2 linked regions of the Mytilus edulis genome follow. The protein of the gene in region 1 binds, or shares a complex with, the protein of each later gene. Links are inferred from orthologs where the notes say so. Each region holds a gene or a part of one and is shown on either strand. Other genes may lie near its edges. The genes, in order: N-alpha-acetyltransferase 50-like and huntingtin-interacting protein K-like.

The links.
Region 2: N-alpha-acetyltransferase 50-like (region 1) and huntingtin-interacting protein K-like share a complex: the UniProt entries of both Homo sapiens proteins name them as parts of the N-terminal acetyltransferase E (NatE)/HYPK complex. The link is inferred for Mytilus edulis from reciprocal best matches to the Homo sapiens genes NAA50 and HYPK.

The regions. Positions count from the first base shown.
Region 1 is NC_092348.1:77,359,578-77,376,956, forward strand, and holds the start of N-alpha-acetyltransferase 50-like, read left to right. Parts: upstream 1-7,490; 5' UTR 7,491-7,588; coding exon 7,589-7,596; intron 7,597-11,664; coding exon 11,665-11,801; intron 11,802-14,772; coding exon 14,773-14,892; intron 14,893-15,793; coding exon 15,794-15,860; intron 15,861-16,590; coding exon 16,591-16,759; 3' UTR 16,760-17,379. UniProt on the Homo sapiens protein: N-alpha-acetyltransferase that acetylates the N-terminus of proteins that retain their initiating methionine. Has a broad substrate specificity: able to acetylate the initiator methionine of most peptides, except for those with a proline in second position.
Region 2 is NC_092354.1:40,484,060-40,501,508, forward strand, and holds the start of huntingtin-interacting protein K-like, read left to right. Parts: upstream 1-10,412; 5' UTR 10,413-10,508; coding exon 10,509-10,661; intron 10,662-13,481; coding exon 13,482-13,589; intron 13,590-17,449. UniProt on the Homo sapiens protein: Component of several N-terminal acetyltransferase complexes. Inhibits the N-terminal acetylation activity of the N-terminal acetyltransferase NAA10-NAA15 complex (also called the NatA complex).

The sequences.
Region 1 (17,379 bases):
GATAAACATGCAGATTTCATACTATAAATTGTACAGCAAAAAAGATGTCCCTATGTACTGTTTTTAACACCTTGGGTTTTACCCTGAAAACAAGAAAATTTTACCCAACTTTCAAGGCTAGATCCTAGTCTAAATCATTATGACACTTTCAAGACTTGGAAGGTTGTTTTTTTATTTTTTTCTGGGACGTCTTCCTACAACGACCTAATCCTATTACGACAACTGTGATGGCTATCTTAATTTTTTTTCTGTGACGCCTATATTTTACAACATCTTTATCAGTTTATTGGCACAATTGTCTATTTCCACTGTTCCATGTCAGACCCAATGATACAATGGTTGATTGTTTGTTGCTCAAAATCCAGTGGCAAATATTTCATGCATGTTAGCAACGACCCCCAGTGATATATGCAGCATTATCATTAATAGGTCGAGTTTGTAATATGCCAAGTTTGAAATGTGCGGAGTTTGTAATGGACCCAGATATCTAAAGTGCTGAGATGTTTAGCTTCACATTTTCTGATATACACCTTATCGCTATTTGTCCGACATTGCTGGAAATCACACAGGTTCCCGTAAAATTTTGACGTCATAAAACAAAATATCTGACGTCACAATGGAAAAGTGATTGTTGTTGACGTCAAAAGTTCAAGCGGCCGGGTCAGCCGGGATTAGCGATAAGGTGTATTGATAACATGGATAAGACTTTTATGCTTCAATGATTATCAAAAAATAACAGAGCAAAAGACACTTGTAGCCTTAATATATAGGGATAGTAGCTCTTGTCACAGATAGAAAACAAGTACTTGTGGCTGTGCACCCCTCCCCCTTTTTTTTTACTTTCTACAGTTATTACTTATTTTTAATTGCATATATCTTCAGAAACAACACAAGTTAATCAAGCAATTTGATAAATAGATTCAAATAACACACATTATGGCTAAAATATCTTGTATCAGTGCAATATATTGACAGTATAAGAAAAAGTATCATATTTCAACACGGTCACGTATAACAGACTTGAAAGAGGCGCCCAACACGGTAACAGCTGTTATTTTCATCAATCAAACTTGTTTTTATCATGGAGAACCTATTTGGTGTAATGTGCAATCATTATTTTACCTTTTTCTTTGTTCTGGAATCTGGATTAAGCTAAATTTCCACTGCAAATTCCTCACTGTTTTCAATTCTCGATTTCGATTCTCACTCGGGGTGCTAAAAAATCTCAGTACATTAGAAGGGTAATTTTCACCCTCTCACACACATCTCTGGTACCCAGACCGGAGTTTAAACTAGAATGGGTACGTTGGGGGCCTCGGTTGGTCAAAGTGTCCCTACTTTGACCTGGAGATCAATCTTCTGATATCTCTCTGGTTTGTCTGTTTCCACCGAGTGGCCCGGTGGTTCTCTCCGAGTACTTCGGCTTCCTCCACCACAATAACAGACTTCCCGGTGTCCTAGCACTCCCTTTGTGTTGAATTGGGTGGGGATTGGTTGTCCTTGTAAAAATAATTGTCGTATAAATATACGTTAGTGACACATCTCCATTAATCCCGTTAGGGAGTGTACATGGATGCCACTGTACACTCGCAGCTTTCGAGGGGTTCTTCGGATATCGGAGGCATTTACCAGTACATACATACAGTATGCTGCGGTAAAACCCGAGTACTGCTGAACGTTACACTAATCAAATCGTGAAAAACGATTATGAAATCCAAGTGATAAATGATGACAAAATTTTAATGATATATTAAACAATAAATATTCATATAAAATACATATATTAGAACATTAAAATTGGATTTGTAATATTTTCTTTGACATCTTGATGCAAATTATGTCTGCGGGGAAAAAAGGGGGAGTTTTTTTTTTTTAAATCGAAAAAATCGTAAATATCTTCTAGTTAAGGTGAATGATCGATACATCCAGGAATACTCATTATGACATACCCCAAAAATTCGTCCCATAAAACCAGATTTTTACAATGTATTCACTACGTTCTTATAATGTCGATACGACGTAACAAAACGTAACAAAATGTTACGTCGGATTATGACAGTTATAAGCACGTTGTCACAACGTAATAAAATGTTACGTCCTGACAAGGTACTAAGTTTACGTGAAGCCGACGTAATTTTATAACGTCGTCTGTACGTCTGCATCCAACGTTGGATTTTTACGTTCCCACAACGTTGGTACGACGTAAACTCACGACATGACGTTCAGACGACCATTAACCGACGTCGGGAGTACGTCGTGTGTTTACTGGGTATACTCTGTAAAATTTAAAGATTACAATGAATTACTTCTTGTTTAGTCTATTAAACTATATATTTGGTTGATAAATATCAGTTCTCTCATTATGCCGTTAGGCTTTTTTATAATCTCACGCTGACTGTGCAGAATATTGGATACCCAAAACTTTTTCTTATAATTAATACGTTTTATGTTATAAAAATACTTGGTTCATATATTTTATAGACATTTTGGGGTTTATTTTATGAAAGAAAAAACCAAGTAATACCTTTTACATAGAAGTCAGTTGCCTGGCAATTAACTATGTTCATTTTGTGTTGTTTTATTAGGAAAACACGGAGTACAAGAACGGAGAAAAGATTTTATGCTTTTGGAAGCAGGACCAGAAGTGGTATGAAGCTGATATCATAGAAAAAAGGAGTAAAGGTGGGTGTTGTCTTCAATACAACCAACTTTTAGCTCTAGACAACAAACAATACATCACCAACAGTATCAATTTACCTTTGATCGATATTCTAAGTAAAAAAAAATATTTAGAAATTAGAATACAAACGGTATTCGTTTAAGGTTGAAAATTATATAAACACTTTTTTCACCTGCATAGCCGTTAAAGTCCAATATCGTATATTATAGAATGAAATTTTCTTTGATTTAGTAACGTTATCAATTAAAAGAATCTAAATAACTTATATAATAATATCATAACTCTAAGGTATATATTTTTTACAGGATACTTTGTTAAATTTGGACTTGATGGAGTAGAGAGAGTTCTCAAGCAAAAGGACATAAAAAAGAGGAAGACTGGAAAAAGATGATACTTTTGCTGTCAAAATCCATATAAAATGTTAATAAACAAAATGTGTATATATTTATTAACTTTTGTTATATGTTTGTATTCCCCTGTTCCGAATGGAGGAGAACATGAGTTTCATTTATTTCAGAAACTTCTCTCAATTAATTTTAAAAATGTGATATCAAGCCGCATTTCATCAATTTATACACTGTCATGCACTTAAAAATTTCAATGCTCCTCAACTTTTCTTACTACTGGTTAATTCTTAATAATAATGGTTCTGTAGGAATTTTTTTGTTGCATTCTTCCCAGAAATCACACATCAAGGTCTTCGAAATTTTTAATGGTGTTTTATGTGAGCCTTATATACATCCATCACTTATCAACTTCCTGTTAACCAAATACATAAAGCTGCCCTTTTTTTCATTTTTTTAGCAGTACTTCAAAGTTCAACTGGTTAAGTTTTAAGACTCGTTAGTGTATTCCATTCTAATCTATGGATCGAAGAAAACAATTAGTAGCTCAACTTCATTAACGCTCAGATGATGTAGTATGATTGTAAATGAGACCAATCTCGCTACAAAAGACCAATTGACACAGAAATTAACAATTATAGGCCACCATACGGTCTTCAAGAATGAACTAGGTCACAAAAAATTTCAAGGAGTCTCTCAAGGTAGAAACCTTTTTAAATGAGTATCGATACTCTCAGATAGAAACCTCTTTAAATGAGTATCGATACTCTCAAAGTAGAAACCTGTTTAAATGAGTATCGATACTCTCAAGATAGAAAACCATTAATAAGAGTATCGATACTCTTAAGGTAGAAAACTGTTTAAAAAGGTATAAAACACTCAAGGTAAAAAAAAAGGAGCTGCTTTAAGAGTATCGATACATCCATGGAAGAAAACTGTTTAAAAAATTATTGGTACTCTCAACGTTGAAAACTGTCGATACTCTCAAAGTAGAAACCCGTTTTTAAGAGTATCGATACTCTCAACATGTTCAACACACTCAATGTAACCTGTTTAAAAGAATATTGATTCTCTTGAGGTAGAAAACAGTTTCAAAGAGTATCGATACTCCGTCAAAAATAAACTTATTTAAAGTGTAGATGTTAAAAAAATGCTTCTAAAATACTACTTCTCATGGACCATAAAACTTTTTTACCGGAATATTCTAAGAATGGAGGTAGACAATGCTTAATTGAGTATCGCTACTCTTGAAAATATATTTGCAAATTTTTTTTATACTCTTTAGCAAAAAGAGCTATAACCTAAGAGTGGCGATACTCTGTGGTATTATACTTGTGACGTATAGTACTAGACAGTACTCTTGAAGTCAAGACATACAGGAACCGGAAATGACAAAGAGCGTCAATACTCTTTAGATAAGACACTTATAAAGAGGAGATGTAAATTAAAGTAATCGTATTTGAGTATCACAACTCTCGTACATATAAAATGATAACTTGATGATTTTGTTTGCATTGATGATAATTTTTGTATTTACATTTCCTGTTGGACCGTGAAATTAGTACTCATTTCTAAATGAAAAAAAATCTAATACACAATGTTTCAGCACTCATTGAGTTGGAAATATCAAAACTTGACCAAAACGGGAATTATTTATTTTCCCTTTTTTATTTTTAACGTGTTATATATAGTTACAGAGCAATTAGTATACAATTAAAATACAGTACAGTATACAATTTCATATTATTCAAACATTTAGATGAATACAATATGATGCATGTTAACGCGGAAATAAACGCCAACAACAACGTTATATGTCTCTGGTCTCACAAACGTCTCTGGATGATTCGTCCCAACTCCGATTCGTATCAACCAATTCGTCCCAAGTAGAATCAGTCACGCCTCAGTCATTACAGCTGAACGGACGTGCTGGATGATCAACGACTTACTACTTTTATAGATGACAGAAACCTATCCAACGCTGTACAGTAAACGTTGTTGTTGGCGTTTATTTCCGCGTTAACATGCACCCCAAAACCCATTGTAGATGGGGGAGTGTTATGCCGATTGACGTGCGAGGGCTGTATCCTAGGTGTTAGATGATTGACCATTATTTCACTGCCCGAGTCACGGCTTTGGTCCTGATAATGCTTCCTGTCATCTTTAATACCAAGTCCAAGACTCATCTACCAGTACTCCATCATCGAGGTTAGCAGGCTGCCAAGCTGACCAGGCCCCGATTTAAAGCAGCCGTTGTGAAGGCAGTAAACAAACCAAAAAGAACTCACCAAAACCAAAATGGTGGTCTTCCAAAATGGCGTCCTCTACCGCCTGTTTCTGACCCACTGCAGAAATTATTCAAACGCTCATCTAACGCCTTGGGCACCGAGCCGACCGTGCGAGGGCTGTATAGCCAGTCAAGGTCGTTAATCACTTCCATCAAGTGCCAAGTTGCTTGGTCAATTTGTTTCCGTGAACCCGGCGGCTTTTAAGGGCATACCAGTTACAGGGGAGAGGTAATGATGACGTTGCAAACGCAAATTGTTATTTTCGCGACGTCAAACTATGAATTATTGGAAAAAGATTCAGTTTTCGACTGATTTTTATCATTCAAACTTATCTAACTTGAAAATGAAAATGTAATTCCATGTCAGATTTGCTCTAAAAGCTTTAGTTATTGAGATATAAGCCAAAAACTGCATTTGACTCCTATGTTTTTAATTTTAGCCATGTTAGCCATGTTTGTCGATGGATCAAAACTTCAGATACAATTTATAAACTAGATACCATAAGGAAAATTTAGTTAAAGTTTGAAGGTATTTGGCACAGTAGGTTCAGAGGAGGACATTTTTTAAATAGTTTATGACGACGACCACAGACGACGGACGCCAAGTGATGGCATTAGCTCGCATGGGGCCCTTTGGGGCACTATTTACATTTTCATAAAAATTGACAAAACTAGCCATTTTGTCTAAGTTGATATTTCATTTTTCAAAGCAGTTAACGCGTATATTTTAACTCATATTTCAATAATTTGCTGCCGGAGGGACACCTATGTCCAAACCGGCAGTGCCGGAGGGACACATATGTCCATGGATAAATTTATGCAAGCTTCTTATCAATGCTGTATCTCTTTCGGCAATTAAAATACAGAAGAATAAACAGGGTCATGTTTTTCTCCAATTGGTCCCAAATGTAGTGGTCATTTTGTCGTGACGTCATATATCGAATGACGTGGTTGTTTGGCATGTTACGTCACAGACGTTGAGCTGTCGTATTTTCCGGCATATGAAATGCAACCTTGAAAAACGGTCGGCAGCAAGAGGGTTAAGGGCATACCAGTTACAGGGAGAGGTAATGATGACGTTGCAAACGCAAATTGTTATTTTCGCGACGTCAAACTATGAATTATTGGAAAAAGATTCAGTGTTCGACTGATTTTTATCATTCAAACTTATCTAACTTGAAAATGAAAATGTAATTCCATGTCAGATTTGCTCTAAAAGCTTTAGTTATTGAGATATAAGCCAAAAAGTTAAACTGCATTTGATCAAAACAAAAGTTAGATACACGAAGAGTACACAATACCAAGATTCTTTTTTTATCAACTACATATCTGGGTCTTTAAGGTATAAAATGCTTCCACACATTACAAAACGGTAGCCATTTTGTCCAAACGTGTGAAAACGTCGAAAAATCCGGAAAACGCTAATTTCCGACGTCACATGTGCTAAAGTGTCAATCAGTTGATGTTTATGATAATTAAAACAAATCGTGTAGTGAAATTTGGAAAAAGATGGTTATGGCTGCCGAAAAATAAGAATAGTGCATGTTGCTAGAGACTCTGGCCAGGGACATATAAATTCGATTACATAAATAGATTACATTTGGCAATTTTTATTAATCGCTTTTATAAAGTTTATTTAAAAGAATGGTAGAATAGAGAAGAAAAAAAATCTCATTACATGAACATCGTTCAACTTTTGCAAAGACAAATTGGAGACACAAAGACAGTCCTCTAAATGTAAAATGCGAATTTCAATTTATGTTGCGGAAGTACTCCGAAATAGATCATTTAAAGTCGTCCCAATTTTCCTTCCTACATTACTTGTGACAGTTTTGAATTTTTAGGTTAAATAACTTAAAGGGTACTGTAATTATTATTAAATCGATTTCCACAACTTGAGGTAAATCACAAAAACAACAGAACCAGAATCAACCAACAACATATAAAAACCCGAAATTGGAATAAAACTTGCAAAAATTAATCGAAGTAAAAAAAAAGTCTTTGACGCCTCATTTTTAGTGTAACGTCGTGTTGTAGGAACATCGTGGATAACGTTTTTACAAATGAAAAGTCATGGAATACTGACGCTCTTTTAACAAACCGGAAAGTTTTCTGGCTTATAACGTACTTGTTTTTATTGTACTTGTGTTTATTCCAATCAAAACAGCATTTAATTTTACCCAATTAAGGGACCGATTCAAAACAATTTTTGTTTATTTCCGGTTTTGGAGCGGGAACACATGTGAGCAGTTAGTTGATGTTAATCAAGTGTTTACAATGACAAGGTGCATATTTGTGATCTTTACTTTGAGTAGTGTATTTATTATTGCTGCCAATTGTACACCAAGTGTGCACTGAAATCGATTGTTGGATCAATATCATTCGTAACCCCCTTTTTATCTAGCCCAGGCCTGTTTTATTTTATTATTCTACTCATAGGCACTTGTTTCCATCAATGGAAAGATCGACTATCTATATATTTATATAAATCCACCTTCCCGTGGATAGAAACAGGTGCCTGTAGACTGTAGTACAACTTACCAGGAACATATATTTTGACCGGATTTGACACAACCAAATAATTTGTATCGGACTTAATTGTCCGGTAATAGTGGAGGGGGGTATCTGCAAGGAAGAATGCGATATAAAATTGCTATTTCACGATGAACGAATAATTAAAAAAATGGCTTGTACATTGATCTTATTACCAATTTCACGAAAACACGGTGAATAACGTACCTTATTCATGGCTGCATGTGAAATGGCAAAACACCTTGCACGAAAATAACCTTTACCACCCTCATAAATGAATGAAGACGTGTGTAAAATACACTATCGCTTAATAATTTCTAATAGGGCTCTTCACAGTTAGTTCAGCCATATTGGATAGGCCATTAGGGGGCAGATTTTTTAGAAAGAGGTGGAAATAGTATGAAAGTATGGGAAATGCTATGCATGTTTCCAAGCAACAGCTCTGTTTTAATGATGTTTTCCCGTATTTTTCACAGTAAATCTGTCAAATGTTGGAATAAGTATAGATTATAACATGCCCTTTTCCATATTGGCCCTGGTATTACCCCATATCAGTCTCCAGGCTTTAGCCGAGGGCCGATATGGGTCGAGGGATGATACCAGGGCAGTGTTCTCCCCTGGTCGTTTTAGCACCGCGATTTTCAGCGCTATCACAATTCCTGCTGTTCTATTGCAAAGACCGCAGCGCTATCCAAAGCAAGCGCAACACTATATATTTTTTTGTAATTTTTTCAAAATTCCCGCTTATTTTTCACTTCGGATCACGTGTCGACTGGTTTACTATTTCTGAGTGAATTATATCCGCTGTATTAAGTAACTCAGCGGGAATAGTCAAATAAATTTACAAAATGGCGTATTTGACAGATCAAAATAAACCAAGATTTCATCAATGACATCTATTGTTTTTATTTAAAGAATATACAGAGGCATTTATGCATGATATATGCATGAAATGAGATGATATAAATTGACCGCATTTCCCCACGACACTCATAAACTTGTTTTACAAACTTTGAACAAACGATGATTTTAAAAACGATCAAACACAGGGGTTTGTTACAATTTGCCAGGCTTACTATCCATACGAACCCCAAAAATGAACAAGTCTTTTGAAGTATTAATTATCACCTATTCGAACTAATAATTGTTCATTCACGATTCTACATTAATGAATTTTACCATTTGAAAACGATCAGAAAAACAAACCCTAAGCTGATACTTTCTCGAGATCCAGCTTGGATGAAGCCATTTGAATAAAACGTTTAGGTCAGAAAAATGAGAAATCATGATGTTAAAAAATGTCAATTCCTGTCAACAGGTCAAACGTCGTAAGGTTGACAGTACTTGTCAGAAAACTGGAGTCACTGCTACAGTGGGTTTCAAAACCAAACACAAGAGGCTGACAATGACTGTATTGTTGGTCCGACATGTTCTGCAACATCACCTGTTAGTGCTTAGAAATCTTCACATAGGCAGTCTGGTATAGACCCATCATGGAAAAAGACTTCTCCTTGGGATTTATGCACAGATAATATGAGGATTATATGAATTTACAATGGAGAAAAAAAACTCTTCTTCTATATTAACAAACAAAGGGGTAACTTCAATGAGCATGATGAGGACATCATTACAAGAGAAAAAAAATCAATGGCATAATATAAGAAAAACAAATAACAAATCAATTACAAACAAACAGCGCGCCGTGACAAAGTTACTGAGAATTGTCGAAAATTACGCACTTACCACAGCGCTATCCAAAAATCTTGGGAAGAACACTGACCAGGGCCAATATGGAAAAGACATGTTATAATATAAATCACATATTTAAGTTTTGCAGAAAAGAGAAAAAAATATTAATTATAACAATTTAATGAAACAACAGGTAAATCTTCTTTTTTTTTTTTTTTTTATCACAGAAGCAATTAAAAAGTCGTTAAGGATGCAATGACGTTATGTCATTTGGAATCAGGGCACAATAACCAATATACTCTTTTTTTGCCCTCAGCAATTTTGAGGTTATTATATCAGTGATATTGTTAGCCTCAAATTACCCCCGATATTCGCTTTTTCCCCTAGAGAAATTCCCAATTACAAAATAAAATGGCTTAAAATTCCTCCCAATAAGTTGTACATTTTTCCCAAACAGTGATGGCATCGGTAGTAATGATATGTAAATTTCGTATTCATGTTATTATTTTGATATAATGAAAACGTTTTTGAGATCAGGGATTCTGATTTGAATCATCGGGATGTTTGTAACATGCATGGTTTCAATGTATTAAATACTGTCATTGTATTTGTTTCTTTCCCCTCCCCCAAATGTTCTTTCCGGTTAAATATGTCTAAAAATTTCCCAATTTCCCCAAAAAACGATGCACTTCTCCCCCCCCCCCCCCCCCCCAAAAAAAAGGTAGGTTTGAAAAAAGACAACAATATCACTGTATATATGCAAAACCCAACATACAATGTATTTGTAACAAATATGTGATAATACAATTTACAAAATCATTAAACAGGTTGGGGACAACTAGACAAATTGGAAAAACCTGTTAAATTGAATTCAGCACCATTTCCCTGGTCATCTAAGAAAGATAGTACATCAGTGGTCTCGCTAGCCCAAAATAGAAGGGCGCCGTGCCCTGGGTGCCTTCATCCGTGCCCTTCTGCCCTGACGTCTTTTTCCAAAATTATCTTGTGCCGTTTTGGTAAAATTTTGTTTCATCGATTTCTGATCTCCAAGTTAATTACATATATGACACCTGTGTGATTGCCCCCAGGTTAATCATGTCATTACACTCAATTACAATGATAAAGACTTCAAAGGTGTTAATAACTAGGTAATTTAATTAGGACAATGTATCTTTTTGTCATACTTTTGATGAATGTGTCAGCGAGTGTGTTTAGCTTGGGTCGGCATTTTCGATCTCCAAGTCACAATGGAAGAGCATATATAAGTGAAGACTTTCCTGACTTTAGAATTGAATTTAAGTCAGCAAAATAAAACTATGCCTTTACAGAAATGCCTTCCATCTCAACTTGTTAGCGACAAGCACAGTTTTTAGTTAACCCAAACGTGGTGGAAATTGATTTTGGAGTTACTTCCCCTGTTTTAGCTTATTACAAATTTGTGCTCTTAAAATATTATCTAGTATCAAAAATAGGAATAAATTACCAATTGAATATATAATAACATAATAATGTTACCTTAAAGATATTAACTGTCTTTGAACATATTAAAAAATATATATTGCAATTTCTACTTGATAATTATACTTTTAGCAATCCATGTTCTAAACATTGTTAAATTAGTAATGCTCTCAGTTACAGATCATACAGACCGTGCAAGGGCTGTATAGCCAGTCAAGGTCGTTAAAAACTTCCATTTGTTGTTACAGATCATATGATGCATTAAAAGCTATAATTCCTATAAAGAAAAAAAAACCCACATATTCTTTGATAATGGGTAGAGTGAAGTTAAACTGTAAAAACATAATATGTTGATGAAGATGTCATGGATGTAATATATCATTCATAACTACACAAACAATGAAATAAAGACTATAGTTGAAAAGCATCTTTATTTAAAAAAAACAACATATACAGTAAAAAAAAAAAAGAGATTCGTTAACTCGTGATACACACAGAAATGTAGACAAAAAAATGAGCAGTGCCTTTTCTTATCATAAAAAGTGCCCTGCCCTCCACTGGCACCCTGCCCCTTTTGATTTCTAGCTAGAGCACTGGTACATGTATGTGACTTTTTATGATACATGTATGATGCAGCTGAGGTTATATAAGTTGATTATGTCTATTCTTTTCAGAGGTCATACAGAACTAGGGGACATAACTCCTCATAACATCAAGCAGCTAAAGTTGTTGAATCAAGTGGTGTTCCCTGTGACTTACAATGATAAGTTCTATAAAGATGTATTAGAAGTTGGAGAGCTAGCAAAACTTGGTATGTTTATAACAGTAGAATAACAATGATACATGTATATATAGATTCTACCACTGCATCGAGTGTGATACAATATTCATCCACTCAAGACAGTTAAATTTTCAAATTTTAAATGTAAGGCTTGTCAAGTGTTTTAACATGTTTAAATATTTAAAATTTAACTGTCGAGAGTGGATAAATATCGTATTACAAAGAGAATTGGTGGTGGAATCTGTTTCTCTAATGATTTTCTAACAATATGCAGGCAAACTAATTCCTTCTTTTCAAATAATCTGCAAAAAGTTGTGTTCTTTTAGTGTGACATAATCAGGCATGGTCGCCTCTTTTCATGCTGTCACAATAGTAAATTCAGAGGAAAGCAAGAAAATTCAATGTCATAATCAGATTTAAACTAATGAACATGATGAAGTACTGAGATCAAACAAACTGCACGTTGATTAATTTTTTTTAAACAATGGGGATCAATGACACAGAAATAAACCACTGCCATGACTGTAGGTCACTGCAATGTCTTAAACAATGAGCAAAGCCCATACTTTTTAAGGTCTATAAAGATATTCTAGAGGTTACAGAAAGTTCAAAATCATCAATTGACTCCCTGTAAATTACAAATGCAAGTTTAGATGCTTTCTTGAAAACTATCAAAAGGGGGGGGGGGGACAATAGGGGGTCCGTTAAAATGTTAACAAATTTTAAATGCTGATAACAGTTAACACCAACTTCAATCAACCCTTTTTTCTAAAATCAAAGCTAAAGCTATGAAAAGGGGGAAATGTACACATTCAATGTGTTCAGAACCACTGTAGAAAGTCGCAGAAATCCCAAGCTCTTAAGGAATCTTTGATAAAGCTGATCAAGTTTCAGAAAACAGCAAACTTGGGTAATCATGTGATGTAGGAAAGTGAGACAGACAGATGGACAGAGTGATTACAACCAATTTTAAAGCTTAAACATCTTTTAAATCCTGAATCTGAGCTATTGACAGAAGTTGGTGACTTTAAATGTATAAAGCAATCTTTAGAATTTAAAAAAAATGAGGTCCATATCCATCAAAGGTTACAATTCCATTATAACTATGTTTTTATGTTTACATTTGTAGTTCTTCACTTTCTGTGTTATGTATATGTTTATATTTGTGTTTACTTGACCCATATGGGTGTATTTGCAAATAAAATTATCATTAACTATAGGAACTATATGGCATGGTGTAGTGGTTAGTGCATTGAACTACTAACATAAAGGTTCCTGGTTTGATTTCCGTTCCGGGATGAAAATTTCAGGGACTGAATGTTCGGCTGTCCCTTGACACTATTTGCGAGCATGGTCTTGAGGAAACAATGATAGTCTGTCGGAAGGGGACGATAAATGACTGACCCGTGTTTAAGAGAGAGCCATATCTCTTGCACGTTAAAGACAAGAGCAGGCTAATGCTGCTACATGGCAGTACTCACACCTGCAAAGTGGAAAGGAATTTATATAAGTTGCAAAACCTGTTTCCCAATTCACTATAAATAAATATGTTTAGACTAACTATAGAGCGCGACCATTATTTTTTATGGAGGGGGCCCTAATAATATATTGTTGCATCTCCGTGTAATCATACGACTCATAGCTTACATGCTTTTATGAAAAGGAATTGAAAAATTGAAAATCAATAAACCAATGTATTAAACGCCTTTTCCATCTCCAAGTCCCAAGAACTCTGAGCTGATATAGAAAAAGCCTTTGGCCAATACTTACACTTCAGAAGCCTAAGACTAGCAGGCCACATTTTTCACAACTTCATTCAGTTTTTGAAAACTATATTCAGGTTCTCCTGGTTATTGTAACTTATCAAACATTCTATATCATCTTAATTGTTTTTATTTTGGGACTGACCAGGATTTTAGCTTGGTCAGAAGTGGTCATTCCTATTAACAGATTAACGTGTGGATTGATTATTAATCGGAGACAGAAATAAACTTCTGTCATAGTCTTGTAATTTTTTTTAATATTAATTTTGGTTCATTTATATGTTTCAGAGTTTATTGTGACATTCATTTTATAGGAACTAGTACACTTTTTTGTTCAGAAAAGACCATTTAACTTGGTCACTTTGGAGTCACCTTCAACCCGCCTACTGGTGCAGGATTTCTCACTGTGTTGGAGACTCATTTTATTTTGCCTTGTGCTGTTTTCTACTCTTTGGTCGGGTTGTTGTTTCTCTAACACATTCCCCATTTCCATTCTCAATTTTATCAAGGATGTGCTATAGTTAAAGATCTCCAAAGACAGCTACATATACAAAATGTATGTTGTTTGTGTTACTCCTTTAAGGAAGCACCATAAATGGACAGAAAATTTAATGTGATATTAACGTGTGAATATTTAAAATTCTTGTAAATGACAGTTAAGATCAGTTCACAGAGAAAAATTATGTCAAAATCAGGGAACACTTTAAGTGTCAAGTAACAGATAACAGGGATTCTATTTTCAAAAGAACAGTTAACAACAGTGCAAATTGTAACAAAACAGATAACAAACACTGGGTTGAAAACAGTTAACAGTAAAATTTTATCTCAAATAACAGTTAACAACACCTTGAAAAAGGCCAAAACAGGTTAACATAACAAGGTATTGCCCCCCCCCCCCCCCTCTTCATCAAAGATAGAGTAAGAGAGAGAGAACAACAACAGAAGATTGGCTAGATTATAAGATCTACACGTTCAAAAAGCAAACAATACATCATTACATGTGACATAACTGGTTGCAATTAAAATAAAAAGTAAAAAAAAATAACACATTTTTACCAGGTACTCACTCTCTTAATTAATGCTAATAGCCTTTGTTTTGATTTTCAGTAAAATTGGGCTCTTTCTTTTATTTCATTTTCTAGGACATATTTACACTTAATTTACACATTTATTTTAAATGTCAGATTAATCATTTAATGAAACTTTTTTTTTATTTTTAACAAATGTTTATTTTCCAGCCTATTTTAATGACATTGTGGTTGGTGCTGTTTGTTGTCGTATTGATACATCTGATAACCAGAGACGATTATACATAATGACACTAGGATGTCTGGCTCCATACAGAAGATTACATATAGGTAGACTATTTATAAACAGTCTTATAGCTTAGATTTAAAGGGGCATTTGCTACAACAACAACAAAATAAAAAAATAAGATTGGTTCAATCATTTATGAAAGTCAATAAGTGGACTTATAATTCACTAAATGTGTCAGTGATTAAATAAAGAATTTGAGAATTCAACCTGTATTCATGTGACCTTCATTTATATCATGTTATATAACCATTTGCCATTTTCAGGGGTCACCTCAATGGTTAATTAGATGATGTTTAGACTAAAATACACACCAATGCTGATCCATATTACTGAGTACATGCATCATCAATTGTTTATTTTAGACTTTTTATAATTTGGCTGTACATTTTAAAAGTATGTTATAAAGCAAATATGCAAATTTGAGACAAATAGATAGACATGAATTTGACAGCTAATGTCCCAAGGGCAGAGTGGTACAGTTTTAAGATAATTGACATATTAGACTATACATGTATATATAGTTAAGAACAATAAGAACCGTAAGACTTAACTACTGTTAATTTATTAATATTCGTTAGATACAAATCTTCGTTGATTTCGTGGGTACACATGGTACAGGGCAGCAATGAATTCAAATGTTCAACAAATAACAAATTTTCTAATAGAATGTGTGCAGACTTTGCAAAATCCATGAAAATAAATATCCATGAATATACAAGTTTTCCGCAAACCACGAAAAATTGGAACCCACAAAAATAAATGAATCCACAGTATTATCCATATCTACCTTATTTTCACACAGTGTACGGTGTAAATTTATATTTTCGACCTTTTATCAAATGTTAATGGTTGAAATGGATATATTTGTTAAAAAAACTAAACAATCAAGATTATGATGATAATAGGACAAATAATTCAAACATATATGATGATATTTTTCAGGTACAGTTATGTTAAAGCATGTGTTGAAGATCTGTGAGGAAGATGCAAATTTTGATAATGTATTTCTGTAAGTTTTTAATTACAATATTGTTTCCATAACAAATAAGACACACTCAAAAAGAGTGATAGAAAAAATTCACATGATTAAAGCAGAAGAAATTGTTCGTTTAAAATTGTAACTTCTACAATTTCTTTGATCTTTGTCAAAATTGATAAAATTTTCAGCAAAGGCTATTGATAATTTAGATTTTGAATTTTGTTAATAAGAATTCTAATGCCATTATTCATTACATATTTGTGCAAGTGTCCCCCTCTTTTTGGTAAGTACAAGATTATTCTCTTCTGATTTGAAGTCATAAGATTAATTGCTGTGTTATATTTTTATTATTCTAAAAACCTCTTTCACAAAAATAGGTATAAAATTTCATGCAATTCATACAGCATAACTATTAATAGAGGTTTGTGTTGGGACATCTGGTATGAATTTGACCATTTGAAATTAGCACAGCTTTATTGTTCGAAAAAAAATACAGAACCTTGCCTTTACTTACAGATTATGCAGGGTTTGAAATTAGCAGGGGCCCACTTGCCAATGACCCCTGCAATTTTTGCTTTTCTTGTATAGAACTATATATGTGGGCTATAAAATTTAAGCTGTGGTCTACCATGCCAAAATTTTAACTTCAATCCCTGTTTAATATGAGATTATTCGTTCTTGTCTCAGATACAACACAAGTTATTGTGGAATCTGGATTCCTATTATGTTTTCATCAGAATCTTACATTCTTTTTTTTCAGACATGTGCAAGTAAATAATGATGGAGCTATAAAATTTTACGAAAAATTTGGATTTAAAATCGTTGAAGAAAAAAAGAACTATTATAAAAGAATTGAACCTGCTGATGCTTATGTGTTACAAAAGACATTCAGGGAAAGTGGCGAACAAAAAGCAATGGCGAAAAATTGAACAAAAATTCAGAAATAATTGACATTTGGAACTGGAAGTCTTTGAGTACAGATGACAAAACTTTAAAGTAGACAAGATCAGATCTAGAGAAACAAATTAATTGAAACATGTATTACTGTTGAAAAAGCCTTGACCCTCTGCCTCTAGAGAAACAAATTAATTGAAACATGTAACACTGTTGAAAAAGCCTTGAACCTCTGCCTAGTTATTGGTATATAATCCCAGCTGAATAAATGTTCTATCTTTGTTGACTTTGCATTAAATATATTTAAAAAAACCTTTATGAACTATATTGGTCTTTCTGTATGTGAAATCCTGAACACTTTCAATCATGACTGAAAGAACGCAAATTAAACATATACGTCAGTCTAAATATTCTTTGTGAAACCCTATCTGTGTACCAATAGTAAAATGTGCATATGTGTAAATGTTTTGTGCATGTACTTATTATAATTAATTTGTTAAATGGGGTGCTTGGTTTTAAATTTTGGCATTAAATTTATTAGCTATTAAATTGTTTATTTTCCGTAATGGTTTAAGATTTTCTCTGTATATATGTACCTCATTCTCTCTTAAATTGGAAATTCATTGACTCACTGTGACTGAATTCTGGCTTAAAA
Region 2 (17,449 bases), on another chromosome or scaffold:
CAATTAAAGTAGCTGAAAGTTTCTTTCTTTATTTTAACAAATAATGCAACTATATTATATATACCTGAATGTAAGTAAATCATAAGATATATAGGTGGCATTTTTTGGGCCACTCTACCCCCTCCTGTTTGATAACTTGGAAACAGTCGAGCTCCCCACCCCTAAACCATATGAGGGGCAGATCCAGGATTTTAGGCTAGGAGGGGCACAAACTTAAATTTTCGCCGAGCAGAGCGAGGCTAAAAAAATTTGAGGTAAAATTATCGGAATATTCTTTATTAAGCTGAGAACAACCCATGCTTTGCAAATTTAAGGGGGTGCAAGCCTGCAACACCCCTCCCCCTGAATCTGCTCTTGCATATATTCAAGTATAGGACAATATAATAAATAAAATGAAATATAGGGGGAGTCCCTGGAGTTACCCCACCCCCTCCTGTTTGAGAACTTGGAAACGGTCGAGATCCACACCCCTTAACCATATATATTCATTTTTGTGACAATATGAAAAATCAAATGAAATATAGGAAGAGTCGCTGGGGGTCACCCCACCCTTCCTGTTTTAGAATTTAAAAATGGTCCAGATCTCCACCCCTAAACCATATATATTCATGTATGGGACAATATAACAAATCAGATGAAATATAGGGGGAGTGCCTTGGGTCACCCCACCCCCTCCTGTTTGAGAATTTGAAACCCGTTGAGATCGCCACCCTTTAACCATATATTCATGTTCGGGACAATATAATAATTCAAATGAAAGATAGGGGGAGTCCCTGAGGTCACTGTATACCCTTCTGTTTGAGAACTTGGAAATGGTCAAGATCCTTACCCCTTAAACCATATATACTCATGTATGGGACAATATAACAAGTCAAATAAAATATAGGGGAAGTCCCTGTGGTCACCCCAACCCTCCTGTTTGAGAACTTGGAAACGGTTGATATCCCCACACCAAAACAATATATATTCATGTATGGGCCAATATAACTAATTAAATGAAATATAGATGGAGTCCCTGGGGGTCACCCTACCCCTCCTGTTTGAGAACTTGGAAACCAATGAGATCCCCACCCCTAAATCATATATATTCATGTATGGGATAATATACCAACAAATAAAATGAAATGTAGGGGAAGACCCTAGGGTCACCCTACCCCCAGTGGCGGATCCAGAAATTTTCATAAGTGGGAGCCCGCTCCAGTCACGCTTCAATGATTTCCTATATAAGCAACCAATTTTTTTCCCAAAAGGGGGGGGGCCTGCCCCCCTAAATCCTCTGCCTACCCCTACCTGTTTGAGAACTTGAAAACCGTTGAGATCCCCACCCCTGAATTATATATATTCATATGTATGGGACAAAATAACAAATCATTTACATTTACTATGGGCAGGTCAGTCAGACCTCACCTTTGATCCCTGTTGTAGTGAACATTTATCTAATTCGTGTCTCATAACTTTTGTACTATAGAACACAAGCTCAGTTTTCTTTCCAGGGAAACCAGTCCATTCATACTATTACATGTTCATACTAAGTCAACTTGAACTTCTAGCAGTCAAATAAAACCAAGGTTAACTACCAAGTAGAACAACTGCAATCATTGGGAACTTGTACCACTGCAGACTCACCATAAAAATATATACATTGATATATGCATTGCTTTTGAAACCTTGATAACATATAAATTATTTGCCTTAATAAATAAATCATTAGATAAACATGAATGTACTATATATGAATGTTTAGTGTTGAGGCAACATTGCCACAGTTTTCATAATTACAGTTGCCTTGGTTTTTGGTTAACTGCCTTCAGCGCTTACAGCGCTTTGATTTAAGATGCCGTTTGGGGCGGGTGGCGGTTTTTTTTTGGGGGGAAGGGGGTATGCGTAAACTCCTTATGCTGTTGAAAAAAAATGAATGATTTCATTGTCATTTAAAAAAAATCTAAGCTGAGTGTGTTGATGCACTGTATACTTAACTTCTATATATATATATGTCTAAATTCACATTACTCATGGTTGAACATGGTTTTGTCTAACCTGCGACATAAAGACATAGACATTGCTAGTCGACGTGGTCGTCGTTTGCGTAAATAATTGTTAAGTTTTCTGCTTAAGTTAGTTTAAACAAACAGTTAATTTTATAGCAACTACTTGTGACTAATGATCAATGATATTTTCAATAAATTTGTATAAATATATCAGTACATATCAGTTTGACGACTATTTCGACTCCCTGTCCCCGTAAGTCATGTGATTTTCAAGTAATCATAATTAATCTTCAATGTTGAATTTTCAGCTTTAGTAAGTTTTGTTTGTACTTTTCTTTAACAATTGACAACGATATTTTCTATAAAGTTACCTTACTTGTCTGTACATCTCACCTGCATGGGAACAGTATATGTCGGTATATATGTTCCTGACCTCACTGTGTTGGCCATTTCAAGGTTCTGTTCACTATTTTATGGCCCAGTGTATTTTAATTTAATCAACAATGTTGCTTTCCATCAAATTGTCTCTTTCAGAATTTGATACAGGTCTACAGTTTATGTTTATGACCGTTTTTGTGGAGCCTACAACTTTTGTTGCGGAAAGCTCGACATAGGGATAGTGATCTGGCGGCGGCGGCGTTAGCCAACTTCTTAAAAGCTTTATATTTTAGAAGGTGGAAGACCTGGATGCTTCATACTTTGTATATAGATGACTCATGTTACGAGTTTCCGTCAGTCACATGTCCAATGTCCTTGACCTCATTTTCATGGTTCAGTGGCCACTTGAAAAAACGATCAGATTTTTTGTGATGTGGAATTCTCTCTTATTATAAGTAATAGGATAACTATATTTGATATGACAACAAATGGAAGTTTTTAACGACCTTGAAAAAAAACTTCCATTTGTTGTCATATCAAATATAGTTATCCTATTACTTATAATAAGAGAGAATTCAACATCCCAAAAAATCTGATCTTTTTTTTTCAAGTGGCCACTGAACCATGAAAATGAGGTCAAGGACATTTGATATGTGCATACCTTGCAAGGTCCTCATGTCTGTCAGACAGTTTTCACTTGACCTCGACCTCATTTCATGAATCAGTGAACAAGGTTAAGTTTTGGTGGTCAAGTCCATATCTCAGATACTATTAGCAATAGGGCTAGTATATTCGGTGTATGGAAGGACTGTAAGGTGTACATGTCCAACTGGCAGGTGTCATCTGACCTTGACCTCAATTTCATGGTTCAGTGGTTATAGTTAAATGTTTGTGTTTTGGTCTGTTTTTCTCATACTATTTGCAAAAGGTCTACTATATATTATTTGTTGTATGGAATTATTGTAAGGTGTACATGTCTAGCGGGCAGATGTCATGTGACCTTGACCTCATTTTCATGGTTCAGTGGTCGAAGTTAAGTTTTTGAGTTTTGGTCTTTTTATCTAATACTATATGCCATAGGTCAATTATATTTCGTGTATGGAAATATTTTATGATCTTTATGTCAGCCGCGCAGGTTTTATTTGACCTTGACCTCATTTTCACGATTCATTGACAGTGTTAAGTTTTTATGTTTTGGTTTATTTTCTTAAACTATAACGGTAATAGTTCAACTATATAATTATGTTGTATAGAAGCATTGTTAGCTGTACATGTCTGCCTGGCATGGTTCATCTGACCTTGACCTCATTTTCAAGGTTCATTGGTCTTTGTTTAGTTATCTTGGTTAATGTTAAGTTTATGTGACAGCAGAGGCGGATTTAGGGGGGGCCAGGGGGCCCGGGCCCCCCCTTTTTGGGAAAAAATTTGGTTGCTTATATAGGGAATCATTGAAACGTGACTGGAGCGGGCCCCCTCTTAGGTCAGTCAGTGGGCCCCCACTTATGAAAATTTCTGGATCCGCCACTGGACAGTTGTAATAAAGCTTTATACTTAGGACTATCAACATAATATCAATGATTAGTATAGAAGGCGAGACATTTCAGCGTGTGCACTCTTGTGTATGCTGGTAGAGAAAAGATCCACATAACGTGCTATCGTTGAATTAACTTTCTTTGTCGATTCTATAGATAGCAGTACTTTTTTTACAATTAGCTTACCGTAGTTAGTCGTGCATGATACGCATATTTAGCACTATGGAGCAGGTATTAACCAGATATGTTCAAAATGAAGAAGTGGTCCCTTTTTATTTGACATCATATATATATCTGATAATAAATCCTGTGAAAGTTTCATATATGATTTTAATTCAGAAAGAGTGGATATAAATAATTCACCACTCGAGGTTAATTGGGATTTTTTTTTCCGTCCATGGTCGATTGACAGCTGTTATATCGAACAAAATTGTTACAAAAGTCATGACAATAACAGACAAAATGAAGTTACATCATGTCCTTTATAAAAAAGGAACTTTCAATGGTATATATTTAAACACATTGTTTTTTGTTTGTTTATTAATCTGCTTTGGTCATTTGATAGATGCTGTAGACAGAAATGTTGAAACCATGTGGCAAGCATTCAAAAAAGCAATCCAAAACACAATAGATAAGAGAGTTCCAACAAAAATGAGCCAATGAAAACACACACATCCATGGATAAACACCAACATCAGAAGGAAGATAAATAAAAAATAAAGCCCATAAGAAGGACAGGAAAACGAAAAAGAAAAGAGACATGGATAGATATAAGAGACCCAAACAGGCAACACAATGGGAAGTCAGACATGCCAACAAAAATTATATGGAAGAAGTATAAAGCCCCAATTATAAAGACAACTCGAAGAAATTCTGGTCATATATAAAGAGCAAAGGTCAAGAATGGACAGGTGTAGCACCACTGAAGAATAAATTGGGATTTCTGCAAAGTGACAATAAAAGCAAAGCTGAGATACTCAATGATCAATTCCAGTCAGTATTCACAAAGGAAAAACTAAATAACTTTCCCAACAAAGGAAAAGGCCCATATTCCACCATGGATGACATCAAAATCAGCACTAAGGGAGTACACAAACTACTCAAAAACCTTAAACCACACAAAGCTACTAGTCCAGACTCAATTCCATCATTCATCCTGAAAACAGCAGCAGACCAACTCGCTCCTTTTCTTTACAGATCTGTACCAAACATCCCTTAGCACCGGAGAAGTCCAACAAGATTGGAGAGACGCTAACGTGGTACCTCTATTCAAGAAAGATGAAAGACATTTAGCTTCCAACTATAGACCAGTATCATTAACCTCCATCACATCTAAGGTCTTGGAACACATAGTCCACAGCAGTATTATGGACCATTTTGACAAATACAAGATACTTACCAACGCATTGCATGGATTCCGCAAAAAACGATATTGCGAATCGCAACTTATAATAACAATCAATGACATTGCTAAAAAACTGGAAGAAGGATCCCAAGTCGACATCATCCTTCTTGACTTTGCAAAGGCATTCGACAAAGTACCACACCACCGCCTTTTACATAAGCTAGAATTTTATGGAGTAAACCCTAAAGCTAGAAAATGGATTTAATCATTCCTTGAAAACAGAATGCAGAGTGTAATATTAGAAGGAGCTGTCTCTTCTCAAGTTCCGGTACTTTCAGGCGTCCCCCAAGGCGCAGTTATTGGACCGCTATCATAGTGTCATGATTGTTTCTGACCTACATAAATAACATGCCAGAAACATCAACATCATCTGAAACAAAACTATTTGCAGACGATAGCCTACTCTTTAGAACAGTAAACAACCAGGCAGACAGCGACCTTTTACAAAAAGACTTAACATCATTGGAAGAATGGGATAATAAATGGCAAATTTATGAGTTTTAACGCCAAAAAATGCATAGTTATAAGAATAGCTCAGAAGAACAAAGAAGTGAGAGATACATCATATAAAATCCACGGACATACACTAGACAATGTTGATGCAAGCAAATAGCTAGGCGTAACAATCAGCAACAACCTATCTTGGGATAGACACATTGCCAGTCAGTATTGTAGGCAAAGGAAATAAAACATTGGGATTTATCCGAAGAAATCTAAAAGACTGCACAAAGATTTATAAAATGATTGAATTTTTCATTATTCAAATATTTGACTTACCTATTAAATGAACTAGATTGTCACGGCCTTAATTGATCTTAATGACTCCGGGCTTACAAATACGAAATCCCAAGGTCTCGAATTTGAATAAATTTAAAATCCCGTCAGTAAAAAAAAATATTTCCGAATCACGAAAGGGTCAATCCCGAGCTTAAACACCCTTCTTCTTCTTTTGGTTTCTAGCGATCCTTCAATTATTGAAGATTATTCGCCGGGCGTCGACTATAAGATTTATAATTTACACTAATTTAGCAACAAAAAATCAAAAATAACAAAATCAAAAAATCAACATAACGTATGTACATTTGAAAAAATAAGTTGTGATAAAACTATATACATTTGATAACAGAATAGTTAGGGATAGAATATGGGGATTAGAGCAGATTCTGAGATCATACTCTTGAATCCCTCTACCGTACTGCATGATACTATTTGTTGTGGCAGATGATTCCAATTTATAACTGTTCGTGGATAAAATGAATATTTATAACTGTCTTTAGATGTTTGTATTTGCCTAAATGAGTGTGGATTGCTATGTCTGGTTCTATTGTCAAGTGGGATCAAAAGATTATGTGTAGGAACTGCAACAATTTCATGAATAATTTTGTAAAAGAAAACAAGTCTGTATCGTAAACGCCTAATTTCGAGTGGGTACCAATTTAGGTCTGTCATCATTTCAGTAACTGAGCTGGTGTTATGGAAGCGGTTGCATGAGAAGCGTGCTGCTCTTCTCTGAACTTTTTCAATTTGTAAATTTTGTTGTTTTTGATGTGGGTCCCAAATTGTTGAGCAGTACTCTAATTTTGGTCGGACAAGAGCTTTATATGCATGAGCTTTAACTTTCGGTGATGCTATTTTTAGGTTTCTACGAATAAATCCAAGGGACTGGTTTGCTTTTGATGTCATGTTATCTATATGTTTGTCCCATTTTAAGTTTGATTGAAGAGTTAGGCCTAAATATTTTGTAGAGTCAACTTTTTCTAAAGAGTGATTGTGTAATTTATAGGTAAAGTCTAAAGGTTTGCGTTTCTGAGTTACACTGAGAATGTTGCACTTGTCAGGGTGGAAATGCATGAGCCAGTCCTGCTCCCACCTGCCGGCCGCTTCTAAGTCAGACTGTAATTTAAGTGTGTCATCTGGTTTTTTAATTTCCCTATAAATAATGCTGTCATCTGCAAACAATCTTAATGTACTGTGTTCAATATATTCTGCCAAATCATTGATGAAGATTAAAAATAAAATTGGACCAAGCACTGTGCCTTGGGGTACCCCAGATGTTACAGGAATTTTATTTGGTGTTTCACCTTCAAGGACTACTGTTTGTGTTCTGTTTGTTAAGAAATCTTGAATCCAATAATATGCATTACAATTTATACCATAGAAACCAATTTTATACATGAGGTGGTGGTGTGAAACTTTATCAAATGCTTTTGCAAAATCCATTATTATGATGTCTATTTGGATGTTTTTATTATTTGAATTTGCAAGATCTTGAATAAATGATATTAGCTGAGTTTCACAGGAGCGGGAGGATCGAAAACCATGTTGTAAGTCATATAGTATTTTATTTTTTTCCAGATGTTTCATAATGCTACTAGCTACAACATGTTCTAATAGTTTGCAGCAGATGCAAGTCAATGATATTGGACGATAGTTTATAGGATCGTGTTTGTCACCTTTTTTGAATGCTGGACATACACTTGCGTGACGCCAGTCATCTGGGATCTTTCCAGAGTTCAGTGATGTTTGAAATATGATTGATAAGATGGGAGAGATAGATGATTTACACTCTTTTAAAATTTTACCATGGATGAGATCAGGCCCAGCAGCTTTGTTGATGTTGATATTATTTAGGAGTTTTTCAATGCCTTGTTTTTGTATCTTAATATCAGGCATCTGCGGATGTTTACTGACGCCCTTGTCTGGTATTGGGTCATCTGTTACAGGTGTAAATGCTTTTTTGAACTGTTCATTTAAAATATTAGCTTTTGCTTTTGAGTCAGATGTTAGTGAGCCCTCTTTTCGGAGTGGTGGTATGTTAGAGCTTTCAGACTTTTGTGTTTTTATGTAACTGAACAGATTTTTTGGGAAACTCTTTGATATAGTAGTAGGGTTTTCATCAACTGGTATCCCACATATCATATTTTCAATATAATTCCAATAAGATGTTCTTTGTTGTTTTTGTATATCATGTTTTAATTTTTTAAGTTGGTCTAGTTTCCCTTTGCCTTTTAATTTGTACTTTTGATACTTTTTCTTGTACTTTTTCATTTGCCGTCTAATACTGTCTGTTATCCAAGGTAAATTTTTACTATTTCTCATCATTTTCTGTGGTATGTTCTCAGTGATAGTGTTTTGTAATGAGTTTTTGAATATTAACCAAAGTGTGTTTGTATCTTCACTATCTTTTTTATGTATGATCTTTTGATATATGCCGTCTATATCCTCTTTTATTTTTTGCCAGTTAGCATTTTTATATTTATATACTTTTCGTGGCTTGGTTTGGCATCTTTTTAGTGATAGTAAACATTCTAAATATACAATATCATGGTCTGCCTCACCTAGTGGTGGTATGGTTTCAGTTTTTTCAATGATGGCTGGATAATTTGTTAACACAAGATCTAAAATTTTATCATTTCGAGTTGGTATGTTTACAACTTGTGCTAATGAATGGTCATTTATCATATCTAAAAATTGTTGATGTTGTTTTTGGTTTGGTTTTCCAGGGATGACACTTGTTGTTTCCCAATTGATGTTTCCTAAATTAAAGTCCCCACCAATAATTATGGCTGACTTTGAGTTTACATTTATTCTACTTATGGATTCATTTAGTAAATCTAAAGATGTATCATCATCTGGCTGGGGTCGATAATAAGCACATATATAACATTTACGTGCATTTGATATCGATAATTCTACCCATATCATTTCACATCCTGTGTCTAGTTCTTTGATTTCTGTACATAAATAATTATTTGATATAGCTATGAGTACACCTCCATGACATTGTCCTTTTTTATTTGGTGGTCTATCTTTTCTAAATACTGTGTAATGATCTTTTGGAAAATATTCATAAGATGATGTTTTTGAGTCTAACCAGGTTTCAGTACCAATTATAATATCAGGCTGTGTGGTATCAATCAAAATATCTACTTCTGGTTTTTTGTTCTTAATAGACTGGAAGTTAATATTTACTATTTTTAAAGGTCTGAGTAACTTATTTTGGGTATTTATACCTTTTTTGTTTTGTTTTCTGATGTCCTTTTGTGATATTGGTGATGAACAAGCATGTGGCTGTCCAGGACTACCAATATCGCTTAACAATGAAAAAGAATTGTTTGTGACTGATGATGATATATCAGTTTGGTTGAAAAATGAACTACTAAAGTTTGGGAGTCCACATTTAATACAGTTCCAGGACAGGTTACTGTTGTCCATTATGTTATACATTGTTGTTTGCATACCTCCTTGGCAGTCTACATGGTACCAAGTCTTACAAGAGTCGCACTCTAGAGCTTTACATTTCCAAGTGACATTTTTTCCACATGAACCGCATGGCCAGCGTGGCATTCTAGGGCCTGGGTTGAGTTCAATTTGGCCACTTAACAGAATTTTTAGCAACAAGTGGTGGTTTTTCAAAGTTGAATGTAATGCTTTATTGCAGCAGTGTATTTTTCTTGAGTGGTATAGCCAGAAATACATGGATACAAATTTGTTCTCTGTAATGTTGATTTTTGGAACAAATAACAAAGCATTATGATCTTCAATGTCTTTTGGGTAAGATTTGATAAATGGTGAACTACCTGTAGTTTTGCCATTTTCTAATGACACAAACTTATGATCTACTTCATGACACACACAATAAATTGTTATCAGTGTGAGTACTGTACTAAATAACGACATTTTTATTGGTAAAATGTTTATAACTGTTTATTAATATGATGTGCTCGAACATAGAAGGTGAGACATAAATTTGAATATAAGCGTTAGTAAATAATGATTTGTTATACTGGACTCGTGTTGCTACCCACGAGGACAATGAACTTGACAAATGAGCAATATTAGTACATGAAAAGTAAAGCAGAACTAAAGCAAGTTAGTATGCGATTTGTTAATGTTTACCTTTTTATTTTCCGGAAGTGGTGTACGATCCAAGAGTCCCGATAAAGGTCGTATCTACACCTCAGAAGTGATTATATCGTTCACAGAAAACAGAAATAAGTTAAGCTTGATACAAAAACATTCGAAAATATCAAGGAAAATAAATAAAATAAATTTCTAATTCTGTCCGTTTTTAGACAGTATTTTAATTCGGTATTCAGATATTTTCTGCAGAGTTATCGTTCTTACAAAACAACACACGTGAAAATACCAAAAGAAAATCACAAATTATTTTTGCACTGAGAGGATTGATTTCCAGTTAAAAACATGACAACTGAAGAAGAACAAGTAGAGGAGCCTGATCAAGAAGATGACAGTAAGAAGGACAAATCAAAGAAACACGATTCAGGGGCGGCAGATTTAGAAAAAGTCACTGATTTTGTCGAGGAAACGGAAATCTCTGCACAAAGCATTGGTGATGTAAGTGGGTGCATTCTTTAAACAAATGGCAGAACCGAATTTCAAAACTGAAAAAAGTATTGTGACAACGTTGAGTTGAATTACCCCCCCCCCCCCCCCCCCCCCCCCCCCCTAATTCATATAAGATTCATATGCAGTGAACACCCCCGACTCGGCGACTATCCAGTCAACACTGAGGTTGTGAGTTCGAAACCAAGGGTATCGGGATCGTTCGCCCTGATTACATGTTCGCCCTGGTAATCCGTTCGCCCTGAGTTCGTTCGCCCTATTCTCATTAATGATATGTAAATGTTACATTAATAAAAGAAATGTATATTTATATATATAAAAATTTATGTTTATCTATTAATAACAGGGGCATAGCTTACGTTGAGGCAACCGAGGCAACTGCCTCAGTAAAAAAAAAAGAAAATTTTTTTTTTCCTTCACTGTATTTTCTTTTAAATGATCATTGCAGCAAACTGGCTACTAAACAATAATGTAGCAACTTGATATGTCTTGTTGGCGCGGTTATTGATTCATACCCTTTACGAATTATTAAAGACTTATGGGAACATTTGAATTAATTTTCCCTCCTCTACTTGGAAATACCCTTTACGGTAGTTTTCTGTAATTAAAGTTTGTCAGAGTAAAAGGAAATCGACAACAGATTTATTTTGTCCTACCCCATTGCAAGCGAAAACAGTGAGTAGAATAGATGAGGATGCAACTCACGAGTCTCCTGATTAAATCACTTTACTATTGAATTAGGTCAATTAGTTAATTTTGTGTCAGAATAATTTCTAGTACATTGTATATATGAGGGCCTGGGTGAGGTTTTATCGGCTCTGAAATTAATTTAAATTTGAAAGAATATGGATTTAAAATGGTGCTAAATTATAAAATAAAGGAAAATCAAATTATGGGCGACAATGATTAAAAACTAAATATTTGATAATCACATTCTAAGCATTCAAACCCTCATTTATAAGTGTTGACATGTTCCCCTACGACTATGTCCATTGACTTTGGTACTAAACAAAACAAAATATGCATTTACATTTATACATTATAGTGCACAGAAAATAATTTATAAGACATGTGGTTCACAAGTTTTATTCTCGCTATTTTAAATTCATAGTACGTTTTCACAAGCAGGGAATTTAAAATATTTAAAGGAATCACTAATTCCAGAGAAATATGTCTGTTAGTTAATACATAATGTCAGTTTATATATAAAAAAAATCAACCAAATACTGTTCATTTACAATGAAGACTTCAGAATACAGTAAATGTTAGTTATTCGCCGGTTGTCATGTTCATCGTGAATGAAAAAAAAAGTTAATAATCATTCAATATGTAATTTCAAGACCTTCGAAGGAATACACCACTAAAACAAGTGCCTTGCTACACTTTACATGTAGCATATGTTTTTCTCCTTGTTTATCCTGAAATTTGTAGACTGACTTGAACATATTCAATTAAATACACACAACACAACACTATAATAAAAAATATAAATCAGGGCGAACATACCCAGGGCGAACAGGTATCAGGGCGAACGGTCTCAGGGCGAAACGGAACTAGGGCGAACAGTTACTAGGGCGAACAAAAATCAGGGCGGACGGACCCGGATTCGAAACCAAGCTCATGCTGGTGCACTTGACTCAAATGTTAATTTACATGGGTAGTCAGTTTCACTTTCCAAGTCCGTGGTTTTCACTGGGCACCTGGCTTCATCCGTTAATAAAAAACTGGCTGAACATTGAATCATATAAATATGTGCAACTACAAGTCCACAAAAGGGGGGGATTCTTTCTATATGAATCCGGGTCTGTTCGCGCCCAATCACGTTCGCACCCTTCCACATTCACACCCATTCACTTTCGCACCCCACATGTTCGCACCTAAATTTTGCGGAAAAGTTCGTTCGCACCCCACATGTTTGCACCTAATTTTACCGATTTTTTGGAGGTGTATTGGTATAAATATATATGCCATGTTTTTAAATAATTCGAGATTCTGACAAGTTTTTTTGTGTCATGACAAGTTTATAAAAAAAAAGTCCTTGCTTTAAGTCGGATTATGTTTCGGGGGCGAAAATGTGAGTTGCGAACGTGTAGGGTGCGAAACTATATTGGGCGCGAACGGACCTGATACCTTTCTATATGGAGGTATATAAATAATTAGTGATAACTGAGGAATAAATGAGTGGTTTATCATGCTTATGATTTTGCCATGTGTTTATGGGTCTGGATTTCGCAAGATTACAATATATGAATCATGGACTAAACTTAACTGATTTCCTCTAGGGGCCAGCTGGACCCTTAATTTTTTTTATTTTCAGGGGCCCATTTGAAATTTTTATCATAATAAAAGAAGGGGGATAGGACCTTTATCGGGACTACAGGATCGGGTGTTTTTAAGCTCTGAATTTCAGGATTGACCCTTTCGTGATTCGGGAATTTTTTTTTTCGAATTTCGGAATGTTGGGATTCAAATTTATTTAAATTTAGGACCTTGGTATTTTGGGTTTTTAAGCCCGGGATTTCGGGATCAGGACCCCTCCTACCCTCCTCATAAAATAAAACTATATTTTCATAAACTAAGACCAACTCAAAATAATTGGTAGATTTTCATACAGATTATTGAACTATATTGGGTGGGTGGAAGGATTTTAATTTTAGTCCCCTAACGACTGAATAATGAATACTTGACTAGTTCATGTAGTTGTTGAATAAAAAAAACTTTTGTTAAGGTTGAAGATATTGTGCTGAAATTGCAACCCTAATGAAATAAGATTATATTAATAAGCTCATATTTATTTATTTTTTATTTCAGGCTATGAACAAATTAACAGAGAAAAAGACCAAAGAAAGAGCAGAATTCATTGCAAGAGAGAAAGAATTGTCAAAGATAAAAATAAGTAAAGAGGATGTGGATCTAATTGTAAGTAAAACTTAAGTTCTGAAAGGACACAGAACACTTAAGGGAGTAAACTCTTTAAATAAATAAAAATTGTAAATACATATAAACGTGCCATACAGATAAACACACATATGTCAATAGACATATATTACATATATTAACCACTAAAACGATATTATTAGTTACAAAGTGTGTTAGTGACCTAATACTATATATACATGGTCAGTAAATTCCATATGGGGTTCGAGCTTCGTATTGAATTTACTGATGCCGTATTTATTGTATTTTGTCACTAGCACACTATGTAACAAATTTATCTTACAGACTATCTTTATTTGTTGAATTTAGACTAGAGTTGTCTCATTTGCAATCATACCTGCCACATTTTTTTATTTTTATATTAAAGTGTTAAATGTTCAATTTTAAGAACCTTCTTCAATTGATCTGCACAAAAAAACTAAAGTCAACAATAAAAATTTAATATCAACAACCGTGATATAACAATATTAAACAGAACTTTCAATACATTTATATAACGTGTATGATTAAATAGTGCAAAAATTGTAACTCCACTTCTAATCGTGTATTGAAATAAGCCCCGCCTCCCTACTACCTAATATGGAATATACACAGACGCTTTTAACCAATTATATTTGTAGTAATGGACAAGAGGTAAGATAAATACATGTATATGTATATATAATTTAGAATGAAAATGGGGAATGTGTCAAAGAGACAACAACCTGACCAAAGATCTGAAAATAGCCCAAGGTCGCCAATGGGTCTTCAACACAGCAAGAAAATCCTACATTGGGAGGCAGGCATCAGCTGGTCCCTAAACAAAAATGTGTACTAGTGACAATAAAAATGGATGTCATACTAAACTGCAAAACATAAAAATGAACTAAAATTATAAAAAAAAATTATATATGACTTTCGATATGATCATGATGATGGGTGTAATTTTAAAAAAATATTTTTTTTATTACATGTACTTCCAATTTAAAAAAAATATACACACATTTGATAGCATTAGGCAGATTTTACAATAAGAAGGAAATATTGTTTTTTTGTATCCATCAAAAAAGCAATTGCTGAAACTGTGAAACAGACTGTGTAATGGAGTAATGCATTATGGTATTGAATAAAATGTGTCTTTCTGAGTAAATAAAAATAAAAATTACTCTGTGTTTGTGTTTTTTGTTAGAATTAGAGGATTTTCAATTTCAAAATATTGGACATGGAATAGACATCATGACCTACTTTACTGACATCCAGCTTATTTGGAGTGGAATTTTGAAGTATTATTTATAAGTGGAGCCTAATAACATGGACTTCTATTTTAATAAAAAGTCTTCTTTTGTGTTTTAATCATAACTTTAAGGCAGATTTTTATTGGTAAAGGCTAAAAAAGGTAATTTAATAATATTGTTGCTAACGTCACGTCTTTTCCGTCCATTGTGGTATGTCACGATCGCAATTTTCTTAATGGTTCTCAGACAGCCCATTGTAGTTATTTTTATCCCGGGTTTTATAAATAATTGAAAATAGCAATCATATTAAATTTGGATGACGTAAGGGGTTCAAAGGACTTGAGGAATCAATATCATTGGCTGTTTTATTTTTTGCGAACGTTACTGCTCGACGTTTCCGTCCAAATCAGTGTCACGTGAGCAACATATATTTAGATCTGTAACTCTCCTGTATAGGAGTTACGATATCGCCCTTTGCAGAAATAGATTTGGAGTCAGTTCCTTCACATGATGGGGAAGCAAAGAAGGTAAGTTGTATGTAATATCGTTACAAGAGGACCTTAAATGTATTCCGTCCACCAAAAAGACGTTCGCAACAAAATGTAATGTCATGATAGTAGATGTTGCTAATGTTACTATTACGAATTGGTTTCTTGTGTATTCATTTGATATAAAGTACACCTGCCAATGACGTTCTGTATATTTAGAAATTCTAAACCAGACTGTACAATTTTATTACTCCAGGCGTATATTAAACATCACTGTGTGCATACATTTTAACTTTTAAAGATGTTGTTGCTCATGTGACATGTCCAAATGTCGCTAACGTTACTCATTTTTTGGTTTCTTGTGTATTCATTTGATATAAAGTACACCTGCAAATGACATTCTGTATATTTAGAAATTCTAAACCAGACTGTACAATTTTATTACTCCAGGCATATATTAAACATCACTGTGTGCATACATTTTAACTTTTAAAGATGTTGTTGCTCATGTGACATGTCCAAATGTCGCTAACGTTACTCATTTTTGTCTCTGTCACGTTAGCAACATGAAAGTAGGAGACAGAACACAATACTGTAAAATCTGCCATTATGAAATATATAAACCTATTGATATTATCTAGTCCATATACATGATATACATCTTTCTATCGATACATTTTTTTTTGAAAATAAGAGAGTGAGAGAGAGAAGGAAGCACTTTTTTCTTTAAATATACAAATATAAGATGGAGAAAAAGGCAGTCTGAACACCAGTGACCAGATAGGGAGAGGGAGAGAGAGAGAAGGAAGCATTTTTCTTTAAATATACAAATATAAGATGGAGAAAAAGGCAGGCTGAACACCAGTGACCAGAGAGGGAGAGAGAGAGAGAGAGAGAGAAGGAAGCATTTTTCTTTAAATATACAAATATAAGATGGAGAAAAAGGCAGGCTGAACACCAGTGACCAGAGAGGCAGAGAGAGAGAGAGAGAGAGAGAGAGAAGGAAGCATTTTTCTTTAAATATACAAATATAAGATGGAGAAAAAGGCAGGCTGAACACCAGTGACCAGAGAGGGAGAGAGAGAGAGAGAGAGAGAGAGAGAGAGAGAGAGAGAGAGAGAAGGAAGCATTTTTCTTTAAATATACAAATATAAGATGGAGAAAAAGGCAGGCTGAACACCAGTGACCAGAGAGGGAGAGAGAGAGAGAGAAGGAAGCATTTTTCTTTAAATATACAAATATAAGATGGAGAAAAAGGCAGGCTGAACACCAGTGACCAGATAGGGAGAGAGAGAGAGAGAGAGAGAGAGAAGGAAGCATTTTTCTTTAAATATACAAATATAAGATGGAGAAAAAGGCAGTCTGAACACCAGTGACCAGAGAGGGAGAGAGAGAGAGAGAGAGAGAACAGTGTGGTGACTCACCACACTGGTGAGTTTTCAATTCATCTGGACATTTAATTATAATGCAGTATAGTAAATCAGTCATACATGTCATTATTGGAGGCTAAAATTTAACAAGAAAAACTAGAGGCTCTAAAGAGCCTGTGTCGCTCACCTTGGTCTATGTGACTATTAAACAAAGGAAGCAGATGGATTCATGACAAAATTGTATTTTGGTGATGGTGATGTGTTTGTACATCTTACTTTACTGAACATCCTTGCTGCTTACAATTATCTCTATCTATAATGAACTTGGCCCAGTAGTTTCAGTGGAAAATGTTAGTAAAAATTTACAAATTTTATAAAAATTGTTGAAAATTGACTATAAAGGACAATAACTCCTTAGGGGGTCAACTGACCATTTCGTTCATGTTGACTTATTTGTAAATCTTACTTTGCTGAACATAATGGCTGTTTACAGTTTATCTCTATCTATAATAATATACAAGATAATAACCAAAAACAGCAAAATTTCCTTAAAATTACCAATTCAGGGGCAGCAACCCAACAACGGGTTGTCAGATTCATCTGAAAATTTCAGGGTAGATAGATCTTGACCTGATAAACAGTTTTACCCCATGTCAGATTTGCTCTAGATGCTTTGGTTTTGTGAGTTATAAACCAAAAACTGCATTTTACCCCTATGTTCTATTTTTAGCCATGGTGGCCATCTTGGTTGGTTGGCCGGGTCACCGGAC